Schizosaccharomyces pombe: one gene and its partners. The protein of the gene in region 3 purifies or fractionates together with the protein of the main gene of each other region. This does not show direct contact. Each region holds a gene or a part of one and is shown on either strand. Other genes may lie near its edges.

The links.
Region 1: the proteins of alp6 (region 3) and gtb1 purify together in Schizosaccharomyces pombe (affinity purification with western blotting; 3 studies listed by BioGRID, with this or other methods). This does not show direct contact.
Region 2: the proteins of alp6 (region 3) and gfh1 purify together in Schizosaccharomyces pombe (affinity purification with western blotting; 2 studies listed by BioGRID, with this or other methods). This does not show direct contact.
Region 4: the proteins of alp6 (region 3) and mad2 purify together in Schizosaccharomyces pombe (affinity purification with western blotting, with the first as the bait; one study listed by BioGRID). This does not show direct contact.

The regions. Positions count from the first base shown.
Region 1 is NC_003423.3:2,789,343-2,794,701, forward strand, and holds gtb1 (gamma-tubulin Gtb1), read left to right. Parts: upstream 1-2,008; 5' UTR 2,009-2,127; coding exon 2,128-2,176; exon of another isoform or gene 2,177-2,238; coding exon 2,239-2,351; exon of another isoform or gene 2,352-2,400; coding exon 2,401-2,454; exon of another isoform or gene 2,455-2,523; coding exon 2,524-3,000; exon of another isoform or gene 3,001-3,044; coding exon 3,045-3,509; intron 3,510-3,559; coding exon 3,560-3,675; intron 3,676-3,733; coding exon 3,734-3,800; 3' UTR 3,801-3,879; coding exon of another isoform or gene 3,880-4,385; 3' UTR 4,386-4,476; coding exon of another isoform or gene 4,477-4,609; 3' UTR 4,610-4,670; coding exon of another isoform or gene 4,671-4,685; 3' UTR 4,686-4,842; downstream 4,843-5,359. Other genes in the region: H2O2 scavenger glutathione peroxidase Gpx1, read right to left, coding at 1-205; protein Cwf12, read right to left, coding at 3,880-4,385, 4,477-4,609, 4,671-4,685. UniProt on the Schizosaccharomyces pombe protein: Tubulin is the major constituent of microtubules. The gamma chain is found at microtubule organizing centers (MTOC) such as the spindle poles or the centrosome, suggesting that it is involved in the minus-end nucleation of microtubule assembly.
Region 2 is NC_003423.3:3,882,285-3,886,274, forward strand, and holds gfh1 (gamma tubulin complex GCP4 subunit Gfh1), read left to right. Parts: upstream 1-1,565; 5' UTR 1,566-1,648; coding exon 1,649-3,382; 3' UTR 3,383-3,443; downstream 3,444-3,990. Other genes in the region: MCM complex subunit Mcm6, read right to left, coding at 1-712; sap10 (splicing factor 3B), read left to right, coding at 937-939, 1,002-1,084, 1,140-1,311; ubiquitin conjugating enzyme Ubc8, read right to left, coding at 3,728-3,990. UniProt on the Schizosaccharomyces pombe protein: Required for proper anchoring of astral microtubules at the spindle pole bodies (SPBs), during anaphase, ensuring correct cell polarity.
Region 3 is NC_003423.3:480,389-485,828, reverse strand, and holds alp6 (gamma tubulin complex GCP3 subunit Alp6), read left to right. Parts: upstream 1-2,000; 5' UTR 2,001-2,122; coding exon 2,123-2,250; exon of another isoform or gene 2,251-2,289; coding exon 2,290-2,351; exon of another isoform or gene 2,352-2,391; coding exon 2,392-4,223; exon of another isoform or gene 4,224-4,276; coding exon 4,277-4,753; 3' UTR 4,754-4,881; downstream 4,882-5,440. Other genes in the region: Ctf18 RFC-like complex subunit Ctf18, read left to right, coding at 1-1,256, 1,337-1,467, 1,517-1,880; U3 snoRNP protein Utp15, read left to right, coding at 4,933-5,250.
Region 4 is NC_003423.3:3,292,595-3,295,754, reverse strand, and holds mad2 (mitotic spindle checkpoint protein Mad2), read right to left. Parts: upstream 1,481-3,160; coding exon 1,411-1,480; intron 1,370-1,410; coding exon 1,223-1,369; intron 1,177-1,222; coding exon 782-1,176; 3' UTR 560-781; downstream 1-559. Other genes in the region: nrl1 (NRDE-2 family protein), read right to left, coding at 1,723-1,889, 1,934-2,844, 2,883-3,160. UniProt on the Schizosaccharomyces pombe protein: Feedback control that prevents cells with incompletely assembled spindles from leaving mitosis. It interacts with the anaphase promoting complex/cyclosome (APC/C) thereby inhibiting APC/C-dependent proteolysis, a step required for exit from mitosis.

The DNA of each region.
Region 1 (5,359 bases), 2.3 Mb from region 3:
TTCCAAATTGATTGCAAGGGAATCCAAGGATGATAAATCCTCTATCCTTGTATTTCTGATACAACGCCTCAAGACCTTTGTATTGAGGAGTGAATCCACATTTGCTCGCTGTATTGACAACAAGGACCACTTTACCCTTCAAGTTGCTGAAAGGAAAAGGATTTCCATCCTTGTCCTTAGGAGCCAAGTCGTAGAAATGAGACATTTTAACTTACAAAACTCAATACTAATAGAATGAGTAGGTTGAAAGTAAGGTGTAGCGCGGCTGACCGTCCTACTTATGTTTCCAGCTGACCTTATTTCATAATGACATCAGACCTTAGTTTGGGTCAACACGATCTTTTAACAAGAGAAATTTACGTAAAATTAATAAAAATTCCAAGGAAGAAAAGTCGGATCGCATTTATCAAAAGAAATCTTATTTATTTAATCAGTCTCACATTCTTTTTCCTTTGTTTGCTGCTTTTAAAGTTAAAAAAAGGATATGTCGCAGTATACTGCCATTGTCTTTTGTCAACATACCACCAAAATGACAGAAATTTTTGCTGCTATTTAGTAAAAATATTTCAAATTTCGTATTTGTAAAGGTTATGCATAGAATGGCTGAGACTCATACTTAAACAGTATAGGTATCTAAACATTGTATGGGGCGATTGTAGCAGCAAACGATTAAGTAGTTTGCGTTAGTTACAACACCTAGTAATGGTTTGCTACCTTTTGTTTAAAATAATAGTAGACGAGATTGCCAATGGCCGATGTTGTTTATCTTAAAGTTGAAAGTGAAGCGAAACCTTTTTCTAACTTTAAGAGTGGGATTTCTTCCATCCAAAAGAATATGCACTGCAACAAGATATAGGACACAGGCAAATTATTTGACAAAAACAAGGAACCGTATAACTACTTTTTTACTTTAATCTACAAATAAATTAGTAGGATGTAGAAAAAGGTATCAGTGATAGATTATTTATGTATTATCTTAAAAGTATTGTTTTTTGCCCTTTGAAGGGCAAAAAGCAAAAAGGATCAAAATTATGCTCCAGCAGTGACTTGAACACTGGGCCTCTTGCTTACTAGGCAAGCGCTCTACCACTGAGCTACAAGAGCTAGTTGGAATCATTTGCTAAAAGGTATATATATATGCATAACTATTAAGAAATGCTCAGTATTTTTTTGAAATAGAAAATGTTGATATTCGGTTTCTATTATTAAGTTTTAAATTCCAAACATTGTAAATATGTCGTCGTTCTTTACATTCTTTTTTTAATAAATCTTGGTTTAAGTTAAAACCCAATTTTACAAGCTCGCAACTTTGTTGTTAATAAAAAAAAATGTTACACCTGCTAAATAAATATTAAAATCAAACTGTTGTTGTGTGGTATTACCTTATTGAGCTTAATTATAATTTCAGTAAAAATTTATGTTCAATTTTTTTTTTTACTTTCAATTAATTTATTTATTTATTAATTTGTAAAATATTTAGACCTTTGCCAAATAATTATTTGTTAATTTTTCATTTTCTACAATCTGTATTAATTAAGATAAAATTGTCTTCAAAAATACTTTTAGTTTTTGGAAAATCATTTGTTTCAGTGTTTGAGTATCCACATGAATTGTCTAATTTTATATCACTATTATTTTTTTATTCGAACACTCATAAATTGTGTCTATTGTGTTACTTTCAATTTTAATATTTACATTCAAAGTTGCATATATTTTTTACGAAATAATGTACTAAATGATTTAGAAATATTTAGATACGATAGTAATCAATACTAAATTTTATGACACATTCTAAATTCACTTACTTTGGCTTTCTAATTTCCTGTTAGAAAAATTGTCATTCCTAATTGAATTTTGCAGCAATGCTCGAATCAGCTCCAAGGTTGATAAATTTATAGTCAAGAAATATGTAATTATTTATAATAATCTAGTCTAGTTGACCTGGAAAATGTTTGCTTTTCTTACTACCAACCTTCTCTTATCGACCTACAGTTCACCCAAGCACAGCGAAATACCTCAAGATACCCTTCTTTTGAAAACCACCTATTTCAGCAAAAAATCTTTCGCGGTTGTACTTTTAAGTAAGAAGCAAACATCAAAGATTGTTTGCTCCTTCATTGTTTAATCATGGGCAGAGAAATCATTACGTTACAAGCTGGTCAATGTGGTAATCAAAGTATGTTCACCTATACTACTATTAATCAAATCGAAATTCTAATTACTCACAAACTTGTCTAGTTGGTTCACAATTCTGGCAACAGTTGTGTTTGGAACATGGCATTGGGCCTGATGGCACGCTAGAAAGTTTCGCAACTGAGGGTGTTGATCGAAAAGACGTTTTTTTCTACCAGGTTGGTTTATTGATACACTTTAAAGTTTCAACATGTTAACTCATTTTAGTCTGATGATACTAGATACATTCCTAGAGCCATTTTGATTGATCTGGAACCAAGAGTATGTTATCGCATCCTTTTATTAGTATTTGCTGAAATATTCAAGTGACTAATGTCCTCTTTACCTTAGGTGGTCAACAATATTCTAAGCGACACCTACGGCAGCCTTTATAATCCCGAAAATATACTTATTACCAAAAATGGAGGAGGTGCTGGCAATAATTGGGCTAATGGTTATTCGCATGCTGAGAGGATTTTTGAAGATATAATGGACATGATAGATCGTGAAGCTGATGGAAGTGATTCTCTAGAGGGTTTCTCGCTTTTACATTCTATCGCTGGTGGAACGGGTTCTGGGCTGGGCTCTTTCTTGCTTGAGAGATTAAACGATCGTTATCCCAAGAAGATTATCCAAACTTATTCAGTATTCCCTAATAGTCAATCCGTATCAGATGTTGTGGTTCAGCCTTACAACAGTCTTCTTGCATTGAAGCGACTGACATTGAATGCTGATTCTGTTGTTGTGTTGGACAATGCAGCACTTGCTCATATTGCTGCTGATCGGTTACATACTCAGAACCCTACGTTTCATCAACAAAACCAATTGGTAATTGATTTATATTAGGTCTTTTCATCAACTAACTATTCTAGGTTTCAACTGTTATGTCTGCCAGTACAACAACTTTAAGATATCCTGGCTACATGAACAACGATCTTGTCAGTATAATAGCTTCATTAATTCCAAGTCCTCGCTGTCACTTTTTACTAACCTCATACACTCCTTTTACCAATCAGCAAGTGGAAGAAGCAAAGGCCATTCGGAAAACTACCGTGCTTGATGTGATGAGAAGGTTGTTGTTGCCTAAAAACCAGATGGTTTCCGTCAATCCTAGCAAAAAGAGTTGCTTTATTAGTATTTTGGATATCATTCAAGGAGAAGCAGATCCGGCGGACGTTCACAAATCCTTGCTTCGCATAAGAGAACGACGATACGCTTCATTCATTCCTTGGGGACCAGCAAGTATACAAGTTGCACTTTCTAAAAAGTCGCCCTATATAAAAACGAACCACCGTGTTAGTGGACTTATGCTTGCAAATCACACTAGTATTGCCTCTGTATGTTTCTGCAAATTTTTTTTTGAGACATTTAATACTAATCTTTGTAGTTATTCAAGAGAACACTAGATCAATATGATCGTTTGCGGAAACGAAATGCCTTTTTAGAGCAATATAAAAAGGAGGCTATTTTCGAAGATGATCTTAACGAATTCGATTCTTCTCGGTAAGTATCTTGTCTTATAATTTCATATTTTGAGTTAATTTACTAATGTATTTGACAGCGACGTCGTTGCCGACTTGATCAATGAATACGAAGCTTGTGAAGATCCCAATTATTTATCTCTTTAAAAAATCCTTCATAGTTTACGATGTCAAAGCAGACTTAAAATATAAAATTAATTCTCCTATCCTAGTCCTACTTCATAATCTATGAAATTCTGCTCAGCAAAGCATTTTTACGCCTTTCTAAAAGAATGGCTTCAACATCGTCTCTAGTTGGTATTTGCTCAATGACAAGAGGTTTCCAATCTTGTTCAACTTCATCACCAAGGTTCTCAAGATGTTTATGTTGTTGTTCTTCAATCTTTGCCTCAAAATCTTCTAATAGACTCTCTTGTGCTGGCGGTATGTAACCAAAGTACCAGGCGTCTAACCTTCTTTTCTGCATCTCCTGTTTGCGCTGTCTTTCCGGTATAAAACTCATATCAGCTTCAAAAAGTTCCTTAACGCCAGGTAACTCTCGAGCTCTTCCGTAATAACGATAATCGTCTATATCACTGATTTGTTCTCCTTCATCCTCAAATAGCTTTGCTTTATTATACAGATAATTAATCCCACCCAGATCACGAATTTGTACCTCCCATTCGTGTTTTTCACGCATCAATCGATTAATTGCATCGTTCAAATCTCGAATTTGATATTCAGGCAACGTTGCTATTCATGGTTAGAATACACAGAAATGATAAAAGCGGAATCAAGTTTAGCAAGTTAATTAAATTTGCTAATAAAACAATCTAGGACGTACCACTTTGAATTCGAGAGATCTTGCGAGAGATATCTTTTACTACACTAGCCCTATGTTTTTCACATATCGGCACAGACTTAATGCTTTTTATATCCTTGGGTCTCTTTTCCGTTGGTTTGCTGCCCACTACATACTATAACAAAGGGGTTAGTGACTGACGCTTAGGTTCTCATGCATATTCGTATGAACCTTACTTTCGCTGATGACATTGTAAAATTAAATGAAAATGATAGACTTGGTAATTAAAAAAATAGAGAAGGAAAGGCTCATTAAAATTTGACACAGAAAATAAATAATATAGACAAGTTTTATGGTATTTATCGAAATCAAGGCAAACCCAACACTTAATTAATTGACCTTCAACAGCCAATTCTTATTTAAGTACTTGAAAATTTGCTCAAGTTCCACCGATTGTGAAGACAAGCAAAAAACTTATAAGCAAGAAATTGAATGCATACAAGTAGTTATTTCGTGTAAGAAACACTTTATAAAACGGAAAAGAACAGCCAAAGTGAATAAGCTTATTGAAGCGCAACAAGCTTCTTAATTCATGGATAACGAAGTCCTCTTCTAAAAAAAGTACTAGTCTAAATAGTAACTAAGTATTTTATGTTCACTACAATTAAAGGATGATATTATTGCATAAATGGTCCCTTTCAAAATGATTACCACTTTTAATCCATCGTATTCAATATACTGTCAAGAATTAGGCAATTGTTGATGAAGTAGGTAACATCAATCATTTGGAAAAGTTCATTTCATCTCTTTGGTATCGGCTTTAACCTAAAAAAGAGTTGTTTATAAGAGATTAGCAGAACGATTTATAAGTATACAGTTGATTTTTTGAATATCTTACAAAGACTTAAAATTAAACAATCGTTGA
Region 2 (3,990 bases), 3.4 Mb from region 3:
TGTGGCATTCCTCACAGATAAAAGTACCTTGTGCTAATTCAGGGCGTACTTCAGAAGTACGAGTAACTGTACCTGTAATAGTCGTGAGTCTACCGATACGATCTGTTCGTAAGTCCCGAATTGTGGATCGAAAGGGTAAATTGTAAAATGCAAGAGCAAATGTTTTGTCACTGGCTTTAAAGTTCGGTGAAAGTGAAGCATTTTCACGAGAAAGAGAACTTCTATAATATTCTGGTTCAAACTTTTCAATCAACTTTTGTAAAGCTCGAAGTAAGAAAGGAGAAAATCGATAATATTGCTCAACTATCGCAAGAGCTAACACATCATTGTACGAGGTTAAATGCTTATAATCAACGTAAACGGTATGAATCTCATACATTGCCAATCCATGAATCTGTTGAACATAATATTTCTCTTGTGATGCAGAAGGGAGAGCATCACCTCCAGCAACGCGGTCATCAGAAAATGACAATAAAAACTCTTCAAAGGCTTCACGTACTGATTCTCCGGTTGTATCAATTACCTTTGGTATGGCTTCTCCTATAGCAGCAAAAGGTTTCCTTTTCACCATTCCATCATCCTCGAGCATAGCACTCGACTCAGGTTGTGAAGGCATACTTACAGTTGGCCTGTCCCCAACTTCTGAAGTTTGAAACCCATAACGATATGCAGGAGTTGAAGCATTATTACCCTGAGATGCAAGAGAAGACATCTTCAAGTGTAGTGCTCCCTATTATCAAAAAACTGCAACTACAGGTTTTTGGTCAAAGGATAGCAATGTTTATTTTGAAACGTTTATTTCTGTGGTTGCTTTGGTGCGCTAGAAATCGCAATTTAGAATTGCAAATTACAGTATTATACCTTATTCGTTTCAATTAACAATATGTGTTAAAAAAACCCAGTCTGAACATTATACCACATATTCCAATATATACTATGGTAAGAAAAAAATTCTTGAATTATCTCTATTCTATGCTTCTTTCATTTATTAACGATTGTAGGCAGACAGGTTGCGCTCTCAAGCAAAACTAGAACAGTTACAAGCGCGTTATGTTGGTGTCGGTAATGCGTTTACCACCAAATAGTAAGTACTAATCGGTTTATTTGACAAATGAATTTTCGCTCACCATATAAACTAGTGAATGGATGGTAAATCAGCACCGGGATACTTTGTCTTCTGTAGTGGGGCATCCACCGTTGCTCGCATATATGGCAACGGCGCTCGGCGAACCGAGAGTCCAAGTTCGCAAAAACCTATTAGAAAAAATGATCATGCCATGTGGACCACCTCCCCCTTCTAATCAATTTTAAAGTGTTGTGTTTACCTGTTGCCCAAAATTAATGTCGTTAAACCTTCGCTCGTCTGAGACTTTGTTTGTTTAAGATAAACAGTACCTACTAGGTTATTACAAAATAATATATATATATATATATATATATATATATTAATTGAATTATATGCAATGCTACATTGATTATTGTTCATTGTAACAACGCAAGACATTCCCTAGTCGTTACCTTCAAAGTAACACGAATAAGTTTTAGCTATTTATCTCATTTACTACGAAAGCCTCCTTTGGAGTAGTTTACTTAAATTGGCTATATGTTGAATATTTTCATGCAAACTCTGTAACAATAAATACATTATATGTTGCATGAGATTATTTTGTTGCTCGCAGGGAATACTTCTGGCCTGTTTATTGAGAAAAATGGTCAAATACTACTGCATCCATCTGTTCAACCATTACACCCTGGTGAACGAGAATTAATTAATGACATAGTATCTTTGGCAAGTAAAAGGAAAAGGATAGAACGATATATTGAAATTTTTGATGAAGATTTGATTCAGCAAAACCAGTTTCTTCTTAAAGCTCTTAGACTTCTGCTTTCGAAAAAATTATTTCTTTATGATGAAAGTCTAGCTAATTTAGAGCGGATGATTATATCCAGCGATCCTTATTTTGTAGGTTCCGGAAAATTCGTATCCTTGGCGCAATTAGAAGCGCATTTAGCAGATTGGAAAGAAACTTTATCTAGTCTGCTAGTACTTCAAGGTAATATTTCTCAATGCTTGAGTGTAGCTTCTACGTTTCAAAAGCTGCATAATATGTATATGGGCTCTACTCATTTGAATTTTAAAAAGCTGGTTTTAGAGTGTGAATGTGCTTTTCAGAAGACTTGGCTTGACGAATTAGTGCAGTATTTGGTAAATGATTCCGGCGATGACAGCTTCAAATGTTCGTTTTTATGCGGTGATACTAAAGATTTTGTATCTTGTAGCAATAATGTCCCTTTTTTGACCCAAGACATCGTTAATTGCTTAGTTTCAATACGAACGTGTATGCTCAATGCAAAAAAATGTTTCACAGACGCTTTCTGTGAAATTCTTAGATGTTTCTACAGACTGGTATATGAAATGCCTTTGCCTTTAACGAAATCTTCAGTGACAAAATTAGCAGATGAAATGTTCACTCTGGTATCAGAAAAAATAATATTTCAATTAGCTTCGTTTCATCAGATTTTCGATTTGGTAAAAATGCTAGAGATGGTGATGTTACTTGAAAATGTTGAGTTTCTTCCAACATTATCTGAAATGTTCAGAGACGTTCGTGGTGAATATTGCAGTTCAAATGACGTTCAAGGGGTAGTAATTGATGATATTTTACCCGTTGTTTTAAGGAAAACTATTTCTTTACTTGATCTCGCTACTGAATATGGAGAATGTGTATCTTTTCTAAAACTTGTAAGTATCTTTGATGAAGAAGATGAAATGATTCGCTCTGAGAATCGTAAAATCGATGTAGAGGGACTCAATATGCAACTGTTATTGTGTTTAAAATGGCCGTTCAATTTGTTTATGGATAAAAATGCTTTAAATGTGTATTCCGATTTATGGATACTACTAGGTTCTTTACACTTAAGTATAACTAAAATCAAATCCCTTTTTTACGAAAGAAAGGAGTATACTGCCAAAGGTATTTCTCAACCATGGACTCAATTGTGGGTGACTTTATGGTTCTTATCATCTTTACAATATTATGCCTACGAATGTGTTATAAAGCCGTCATATTGTAAATTACGGGAATCTCTTACTGAGTTATATAGAACACAAAAGTTACGTATGCAAGACTGTTCTCAATTGCATGCTTTAACGTTGACTTACGCTAAGAAAATGTTGTTTTTTTACGATGATGATTTACACATTTCTTTAAACTCGATTTACCATGAGCTTTCTTTATTTCGTAGTCAAGAAGTTTCGAAAGTTGACTGTCAGTTAGCTGCTCACGTATCTCATTCGATTGAATGCATACGACAGAAAGAAAATGATCCATCGTATGATAGGGAAATAATTAACGCGCTGATTGTTCAGCTTAATTTATAGGTAGATATGATCAATGTATTTATTTAATATTTTTTTTCTATTTTATTTAAATATTAGTTCTCATTAACTATGCATCATGGAGTTATAGTCGTAAATTATGCTGCAGTAACTTGAAGCTTCAAGAAAATAAACCTATTAAATATCGTTGTCACGACTACTGATTGAAAGCAAATTCAAACGGGTTTTGCAAGCGACAGCATGCAAAAAGAATCATTCAATGCATCAATAGAAAAAAAAGTGTAACAGATTTAGCTATCCATCGGTTTATTGAATGCCACAATCAGTATCCATAAAGAGAATTCAAAAAAGAATCAATGTATATCAAACAAAGCAACGTAACGAAATTTAAAAATCAGAGTCCATTGGACCAGCAATTTCATCGCCAGATTCAGTGTCAATAGAAGACATGGTGTCATCATCTGAAGAGTCGTTCAAAGTTATATCAGCGTCTTCTTTATTAGCATACCGAGCGATATAATCTCGAACCTTGGCATAGTAGGTATTCGGCTCTCGCAATAATAGAGCTGCTGCCTCTCCATTTAGAGGGTCCGACGCATTAGGATAACGGAGTAGCTGTGGAAGAAAAACCTCAAAAATATTAATCATAT
Region 3 (5,440 bases):
GGATAAAAGCTTGGGATCCTTGTGTGTTTGGAAAATCTCGATTACAGCCCTCAAAGAGTATGCGTTTTAACCCCAGATTTACTAATATCACTTCTGATAGTGATAGACCTGATAAACGGATTATGATGCTGACTGGACTGGCAGGTGCAGGTAAAACGACTTTGGCTCATGTTATTGCTCATCAGGCTGGATACAAAGTTTTGGAAATAAATGCTAGTGATGATCGTACTGCTCATACGGTTCATGAAAAGGTATCCTCTGCCATTAGCAATCATTCAGCCTTGTCATCTCAACCTACATGTGTTATAGTTGATGAAATTGACGGAGGTGATCCTGCATTCGTACGAGCACTTTTGAGTTTATTAGAGAGTGACGAAAAAGCGACTGAGTATTCTCAAGCTGGTAATTCAAAGAAAAAGAAAAAGTTTAAGAAACTTTGTCGTCCCATTATTTGCATTTGTAATGACTTATATACTCCAGCACTTCGACCTCTGCGACCATATGCTCAAATAATATATTTTCGACCACCTCCTCAAGCATCTCTTGTCGGTCGTTTAAGGACTATTTGCCGAAATGAAAATATAGCTGTTGACAGCCGCTCTTTGACTTTGCTGACAGATATCTATAATTCTGACATTCGAAGCTGTATCAACAGTTTACAACTTTTGTCTTTAAATAACAAACGTATAGATTCTGAGACCATAAAGCTTTTGCAACCAAAAAGTAATTCTTTTAGTACTTCTAGTTTAATCCAATCTCTTTTTTTACAACTTGATAATAAACAAATACGTGCAATTGAAGCATCGCAACCTACTTACTCACATTTGGACGCCCTCCTTGCAAGGATTGATGGAGCTAATGATTCTGAATCAGTCTTGATGAATTGTTTTCATACATACTTAGATCTTCCTTTTACTGATAGCTTACTTTCTAAACCTGCTTTGACAAGCGAGTGGCTTTACTTTTTCGACCAACTTCATTCACAATGTTATAAGGGAAATTATGAGTTATGGAGGTACATACCTTATTCCATTATTCATTTTCATTATTTGTATGCAACTCCTGAAAAGTGCCGCCTTCCGCATCCTCCCAGAAGTGATTTGGAAGCTTTAAAACTTTATCGTACTCGCAAAGAAATATTGGATTCATTCATATCGACGCTAAATGCTTATGAAAATCAAATGCATGGAGAAAGATCAATTCTTTTGGAACTTATCCGTACAATTTTAATTACCATAAATCCTACACTAAAACAGGTAAGGTCTATATATTTTAAAAAAAAAAAAAAAAAAAATTGCGTGAAACAATATTTTTTTAATTTACTAACTTTTTATAGAAAGAAGATTCTATGCCAAGGAGCGCTTTACCTTCTAAAATTGAGCATGCGATTAACATTTTAAATCATTATAATTTGCGTTTCCAACAGCTTCCCGTTGGAGATGGCAACTATGTGTATAGGCTTGAGCCGTAAGTTCCAATATTTTTATTTCTTTCTAGTAATAGCTAACGTTGACAGACCTTTGGATGAATTGGTTTGGGACGCACCTACAAGTTCATATTCTGTTCGTCAAATGCTATCTCAGGAACTGCTCAAGAAAAGGCTCGCAGACATTAAAAAACAAACCCTAACGGACAACCCCACTTCTTCGAATTCTTCAAGAAAGCGCAAAGATTTTAATTCCGGAAAAGCAATTAAGAGAGATTTTTTTGGCCGTATCATTTCTGAACCAAAATCTGAAGCAGTTACATCGAATAATGCAGCTTTGAATACAGGAGATCATCCAGTTTCCATCAAGCATGCAATCAATATCAAATTTCACGATGGGTTTTCCAATGCTGTGAGAAAACCAATATCGTTGAACGAGATTCTGAATTTCTAATCTAATGTGCATTAATATTTTTAATTTCAATCTTTTTGAAATAAAATCAATCATTTAATTTAAAAAAAAATCACTAGTAAAAATAGGTGTATGCGTAAATTCATCTAACCATTATTTCCTGACCGCGACTTCGGCGTGTACTTTGTCAATGGCTTTAAGATTTTGAGTTAACGATCAATACTTGTATTTCTCTATTTTAATTCAAAAATAAAAAAAATACTTTCGTCATTTGAAGTTCTCAAATGTCGGAGATTCATGTGAAAACTGCATTATCACGTCTGGCGGACAAGTATTTACAGAACTCCAAAAACCCTTCTGTCCCTTACACAATTGAAACGATCGTGTCTTTCTTTCAGGAAATAATTCACTCGTAAGCTAATTTCGTGTAAATGATCATGCTAACTGTTAGCATTTCTCCTGATACTTTTCAACTGGACATTGATGACATTCTGTACAAAATATATTCAAAAAGTATGTGAAGGTCTAAATACCAAAATTAACAGTTTTTTAGTTCCCCCCGAAGAAAACAATGATGCTTTATTTTCTAAATTATCTAACTTAGTTTCGCGTTTGAAAAGTCAAACGGTCATTCACAACAAATCTCAAATACTCTATTTCTTATACTTGCTCTCTCCTATTTCTCAGTCATCAAGAGATGTCTCCTCTCATTTATTAGATGAGTCTATTTCCAATCCTATCAATATTCCATCAACAGAAGTGGAATCCTCAAACTTTGGTCAGACACGTTACGATCAAGTTCCTGAAAACCCCCAAATTACTGATTGGGATGAAGGATTGGAAAATGAAAGTTCTATCTCAATTGCTCATGATTCATCTAGGCTAAACCGTAGTACTGAAACTTCTTCTGTTCAACATACTTTGATTACAGAAGCCGATTTGTTGTCTTCAATATCTTACGTACTTCAAGGAATTTCTACCGAATATGTTCAGTTTAAAAATGAATTAGCGCTGTTGTCTAAGAGAATACCTGTCCAATACCTTTTACAGATGCGAGCTCTTTCAGAGACAGGCTTATTATATCAGGAACTAAAGGTTTTCAGCAATTATGATCCTTCGGTCAGTCAATCCATTGATGGTGATAACGTTAGTAAAGCATTTATAAACGATCAGTCTTTAGCTTTACAAAGTTTAAAATCGGTCATTTCTAAAGAGCTGACTAATTTCCTTGCGTTAATTGCATCTCTGGATTCACAAATTCGAGCAGACGCTTCACTTGAGAAGCCTATGGTAACTATCCGGCGTTGCATTGCCTGGACGCAAGTTGCCAAGCTAAAACTTAGAATTTTGTCTTCAGTTGTTAATGATAATATGAACCAGGAGAATAAAAAAAGATTGATTCAAGTGGTTTCGAAATACAATGTGCATGGAGATCCGCTAATACAAGAATTGAGTGATAAAATACTAACAGAAATTACTGGACCTTTATACGAAATGATTGAAAACTGGATTTATAAAGGAGAATTGGTCGACCCTTATCAAGAATTTTTTGTTAAAGAAAAAAATGGTAGTGAAAGCCATGATCATCAAGGGCAAGGTGATGTCGTCTGGAAAGGTAAATATTTTTTAGACAAAGAGTTAATACCAAGTTTCCTTTCTGAAGAACTTGTCGACAAAATCTTTTTGATTGGAAAGAGTTTAAACTTCGCACGTTATGGATGTGGTGATTTTGACTGGGCACAAGAGCATTACCAGAAGCTAGTGAAAAAACTTAGTTATAGAGACCCTCATTCATTAGAAACAGTGGTTGATAAGGCGTATACTGAGTCCATTAATCACTTAGTATACTTGATGGAAGAGGTGTTTCATTTGACTGATCATTTAAAGGCTATCAAAAAATACCTTTTACTAGGACAAGGTGATTTTGTGGACTTATTAATGGAGAGCCTTGGTAATTCTTTGGATCAGCCGGCTAATACTTTGTTCAGACACAATTTGACTGCTTCTTTAGAAAGCGCCATTCGTTCAAGTAATGCATCTTATGAACCTGAATACGTATTAAAAAGATTGGATGCTAGGCTTCTGGAGCTTTCACATGGTGAAACTGGTTGGGATGTTTTTACGTTGGAGTATAAAGTTGATTCACCTATCAACGTAATAATAACACCATATTGCTCTAGACAATACTTAAAAATATTTAACTTTTTATGGAGGTTGAAACGAATTGAGTTTGCCCTTGCCCATTCCTGGAGGCGAGTAAATTTGGGCGAGCGAAATGTCTTCAGAAATCTGGATTACACAAAATTCGAATGGCATTTTGTCAGTTGTCATCTTGCGGAAATGATTCATTTTGTTTGTCAACTTCAATATTATATACTCTTTGAGGTAACGAAAAACCAAAACCCAATTTTGCATTGTATACTAACCATTGGAAACAGGTTATCGAAATTAGTTGGCAAGAATTACAGCTTGCTATGGAGAAACCAAACGCTACATTGGATACGTATATAGAGGCACATGAAAAATATGTTACTAGTATAACTCATAAGGGCTTGTTGGGTGGTGGTAAGTCAAGGAATGAAGATTCCTTCCTTCATCAGCTTCATGATATACTTAAAGTTATCTTAAACTTTCATGATGCAATTGAGTTGTTGTATAACTTTTCTTGCTCCCTGTCGAATAGAATTCGCATTAATGTACCAATTTCGACTGATGCTTTGGCAGCTCAATACACCCCTATAAAAAATGAACTCTCAAATTTTACTGAGGAATTCCAGGTTCGACTTCAAAAATTATTACATGGATTAGCTTCCCATAAGGACCCAGAAATGCGCTTTCTTTCCGTTCGTCTCAATTATAACGAATTCTACGTTTCTCATAGACGGCGTCATGATAAGGATGTTACCAGTCAATAAATGAGGTTCATGCATGATTATTTAAACTTTTATTACTCGTAGTAAACTATAAATTTAGTTATTAATATTTAATGTGATTTAACTATCGTTCAGCGGTGCTGTTTAATTTGCCTTTGCCAACCACCAACACCACCCACCCATTTGGTTAACTTTTTTCAGCAACCACATATACGGATATCATGTCCGCGCCTGCTGGTAGACTTCAACCTCAGCGTTTTGCTGCTTTACCTAATCCCGTTACTGCTGAAAATAAATTTTGGCGGTCATTCAAGGTTCCTGTCGTTGCCAAGGAATATAGTGCTATCACTAGTATTCATTTTTCCGCTGAATCCCCTTATGACTTTGCAGTAACTAGTGGGGCTCGTGTACAAATTTATGGAGCTAGTTCAAGGTCTGTTAAAAAAACAATTGCTCGATTTAAGGATACCGCATATTCTGGTAACATTAGAAAGGATGGAAAACTTTTGCTTGCAGGAGATGCTACAGGACTTGTACAGGTAAGTCTACATTACCAAAAGCTTTGAAAGATAGTTGCAATTAAAACGTTGATAAGCTGCACATGGAATTTTGTTAGTTTAGTTTAGCTGATTGAAGCTGTCATTTGCTAGTATATAGCTAAAAAAATACCATTTTTCCGGTGTTTGTCAACGCTTTAAACTTACTTTAGAGGTTTTCTTGTTGCCATTG
Region 4 (3,160 bases), 2.8 Mb from region 3:
GAAATCCTCAAGCTTTTAAGAATAAATCTTTAAGAAATTTCAAAAAAAAACTAGATAGCCCCAAAATTCAAGAAGCAAAGAGAAAAGAGGAACCGTCCAAGTCTTGGTATTCTCTGAGGAAACGATGATTCACACTCAGTACTAGTAAAGGCTAAGTAACTGATGAATAGATGTCATACATACTGAATCGTTATTAATAGATAACGCGAGTTAATGTTTATTAGTGATAATGTTATTAAATACGGAAAACTCCGTTAACAATAATATTCCAGCTTCTCAACAGTCTTAAAAAAATTGAGGAACACGTCTTGACTAAATTAGAATTTCTAACTTTGATATTTAAAATGATATACACATTGTTCAATTCTGTTAAATTATTTGCTACTGTGTTCATTTTGTAGTCAGAAACCTACCTCAAGAGATGAATGTCGTTACCTTGGCATATAGAATCTTACCTCGCAAATGCTACCATCAGTTTAAAATGTTGATTTACTGCCGCAAAGTTTCAATGAAAACATCATTGCGAGCTGTTGCTATAGTGTATTTTGTTTAATGAATAAGAGAAGATGATTATATTTTAAAGAATGCAAAAGTATTATTAAATAAATGGATAGAATAGAGATGCGTCACAAAATTATAAATATTGGACATTAAAACAAACATAGGATTCACCGAATTATAGTTAAACAATATGGCCGGAATTTTGAGATTTATAGAACACATCAAAGCTTTGTTTTCTATTATCTCATCTAATAGGTAAGGATCATGCCAAAAAAAACAACTAAGGATTCACTCGATATGCAACTTGACAATCAATTTTGTGCATACTCGTACTAAAACTTCGTAATTGAACTTGTTCAGCATCTCTTAAAATCCTAGGGTCACTGTCTACCCAATCTGTTGGAACTTCGCTGTCTTTATCAGCGTATACCAAAACGTTAAACGTACACTGTTCTTCTAGTTGAGGCAAAAAGGTCACTGTAGCAGTGATTTGACGAATTAGAGCTTGAATTTCTTTTTGTACTCGCAGTTCATCTTCTTTGTTGCCAATGTTCTGAAATTGATCAGCTGTGTCAACCATCTCCACATTAAACTGCCACCGCTCTAAATCTTCACCTGAACATTTACTAGTAATTACCAAAATCAGTTTTTGAATTTTTTTTGCAAACATCCATTCTAAAAATTTGTTAATTCCAAAAGTGATAATAGAACAACAACTCACTGTGTAACTGAGATACAATTTTTCGAATGTAAGTCTTGACCTCTTCATCTACACTGACAAGCATATTTAATCCATATTTCCGAACAACTTTGAAGTCTTCTGCTGGGTAAATTCCTCGTTGAAAAAGGATTGAGTTCACCGCATATTCTTCATTAAGTTAGCATGGCATATTTGAAACATTTACAAACCAAAAAATTCGCTAACAAGTTTGGAAGAACCTTTCAGTGAAAAATTCGTTCTTATGGGAACGCTAGACATGTTGTGTTGTAGATTTTTGTAATAAGCAATAGGTTGTGTAGTAATTGAGTAGGTACTGCCATGATGGTTGCTTAGAGGTACCCTTTCAACGTAAAAGCAACCATATAAGCATTTAACAAACAAAAGTGAAAACTTTAATAATAAGACTACTAAAGCATTTACGCAAACTTGAAAGTAACTAATCTGTCATTTTAAACTCATTTCACTATCTCTATCATTAAAAGTCATTGATCGTAATAATGTCAGTTTGGGGACAAAATAAGTTCATCTCCTCTTTCAAACTTTAAAACATCTCTCCTTATTTCGTTATGGACTCTAAAGCCTTTTTCCAACATGATTATATAGCAAATAATAGCCCGACTCTCCATCTCTTTTTTCAAGAGCAAGTCTATAACGTCCATACAAACCCCTAAACTTAGTCAGTGAAATGTTCTATGTTTTTAATTAACTTACCTTTATTACAGGGGCAGGAAGCCAATGCTTTGGTGGTAATCGCCGAAACCCATTCAGTACCATTTAATCGCAAATTGAGAATCTTTAAATATATTCTCCAAAACTTGGCGACGGATTTCAACTTTTCATTATTTAGAGTGATATCCAAAGTCCTTAAAAAGTACTGTGAGTTTGTTGGCTCAATCTGTTGAACGGCAACATAAAAAAGGTACCAACAAGCTGTAACAACAGCATTTGAAGCAGATTTTAAAATTTTCATAGCCCTAATTTTTGGTTTGTTCTCTTGTCTCAACTTAGATTCAAAAAATATATAAACTTCCCATATAGCCGTATTTGCACTGAAAAGTGTAACTCCCTTTTCAAAAAAAGGTCGAACCTTGGGTAGATTATAGAATTGAAGAGTGGTAGCTTGATAATAAAAAATCAATGAACAATAAGAAAAATAGCATTCCATTTCTGAAGAAGCCCCCCATCCATAGCTTTCGAATTTTTGAATGCATAAATACACACAATTATCCATTGAATCCATATCAGTACAGTGTGTCCATATAGTATAGATAAGACAAACATACAGCAATTCTTCCTTGCTGGCGCAATTTTCCAACATACCAAATAGCATTTCGGATGCTCGATTATTATCGCTAGTTAAAGATTTATCACCAGGAAACAACAGGCATTTTATAATAACTAAGCATCCTTCAGTATCATTAATAAGTAGCTTTCTAAAAGCCCAGTTTTTGTATACATTTAAATTATCAATGTAGCGCAATTGGGAAGCATGGATCTGAAAAATTGTTTTAAAAATTGTTTCAGCCATAGTAAAAGCACCACTTAAGTGTTCCAATTGAGCGTAAGTGTTCCAAACAGACACTGAACTATCGTATTTTTTGAGAATCTTCTTTACAATTTTACTGAATTTGGTTAGAAGGAAACAAAAACATCTACTTACTTCACTTGGGGTTTCTCCTCACTTAGGTTCTTCGTCTCCATTTGCTTTAAATAAATTAAATAAACGCTCGCTAAATACTCATCGTCCGCCGAAAATACTAGTTGATGAAAAGCACGCTCCATTGATTCCTTCACATGATGTGCAAGGTTGTAATCAAATAACTTGAAATTTAAATTTTTAAACGACATAAGAGAAATGAAGAGATCAATGTATGAAGGTAGTATACTACAGGGAAATTGAAAGCTGTTTTTCTCAGCTATCTGTCCATTTATAAAGGA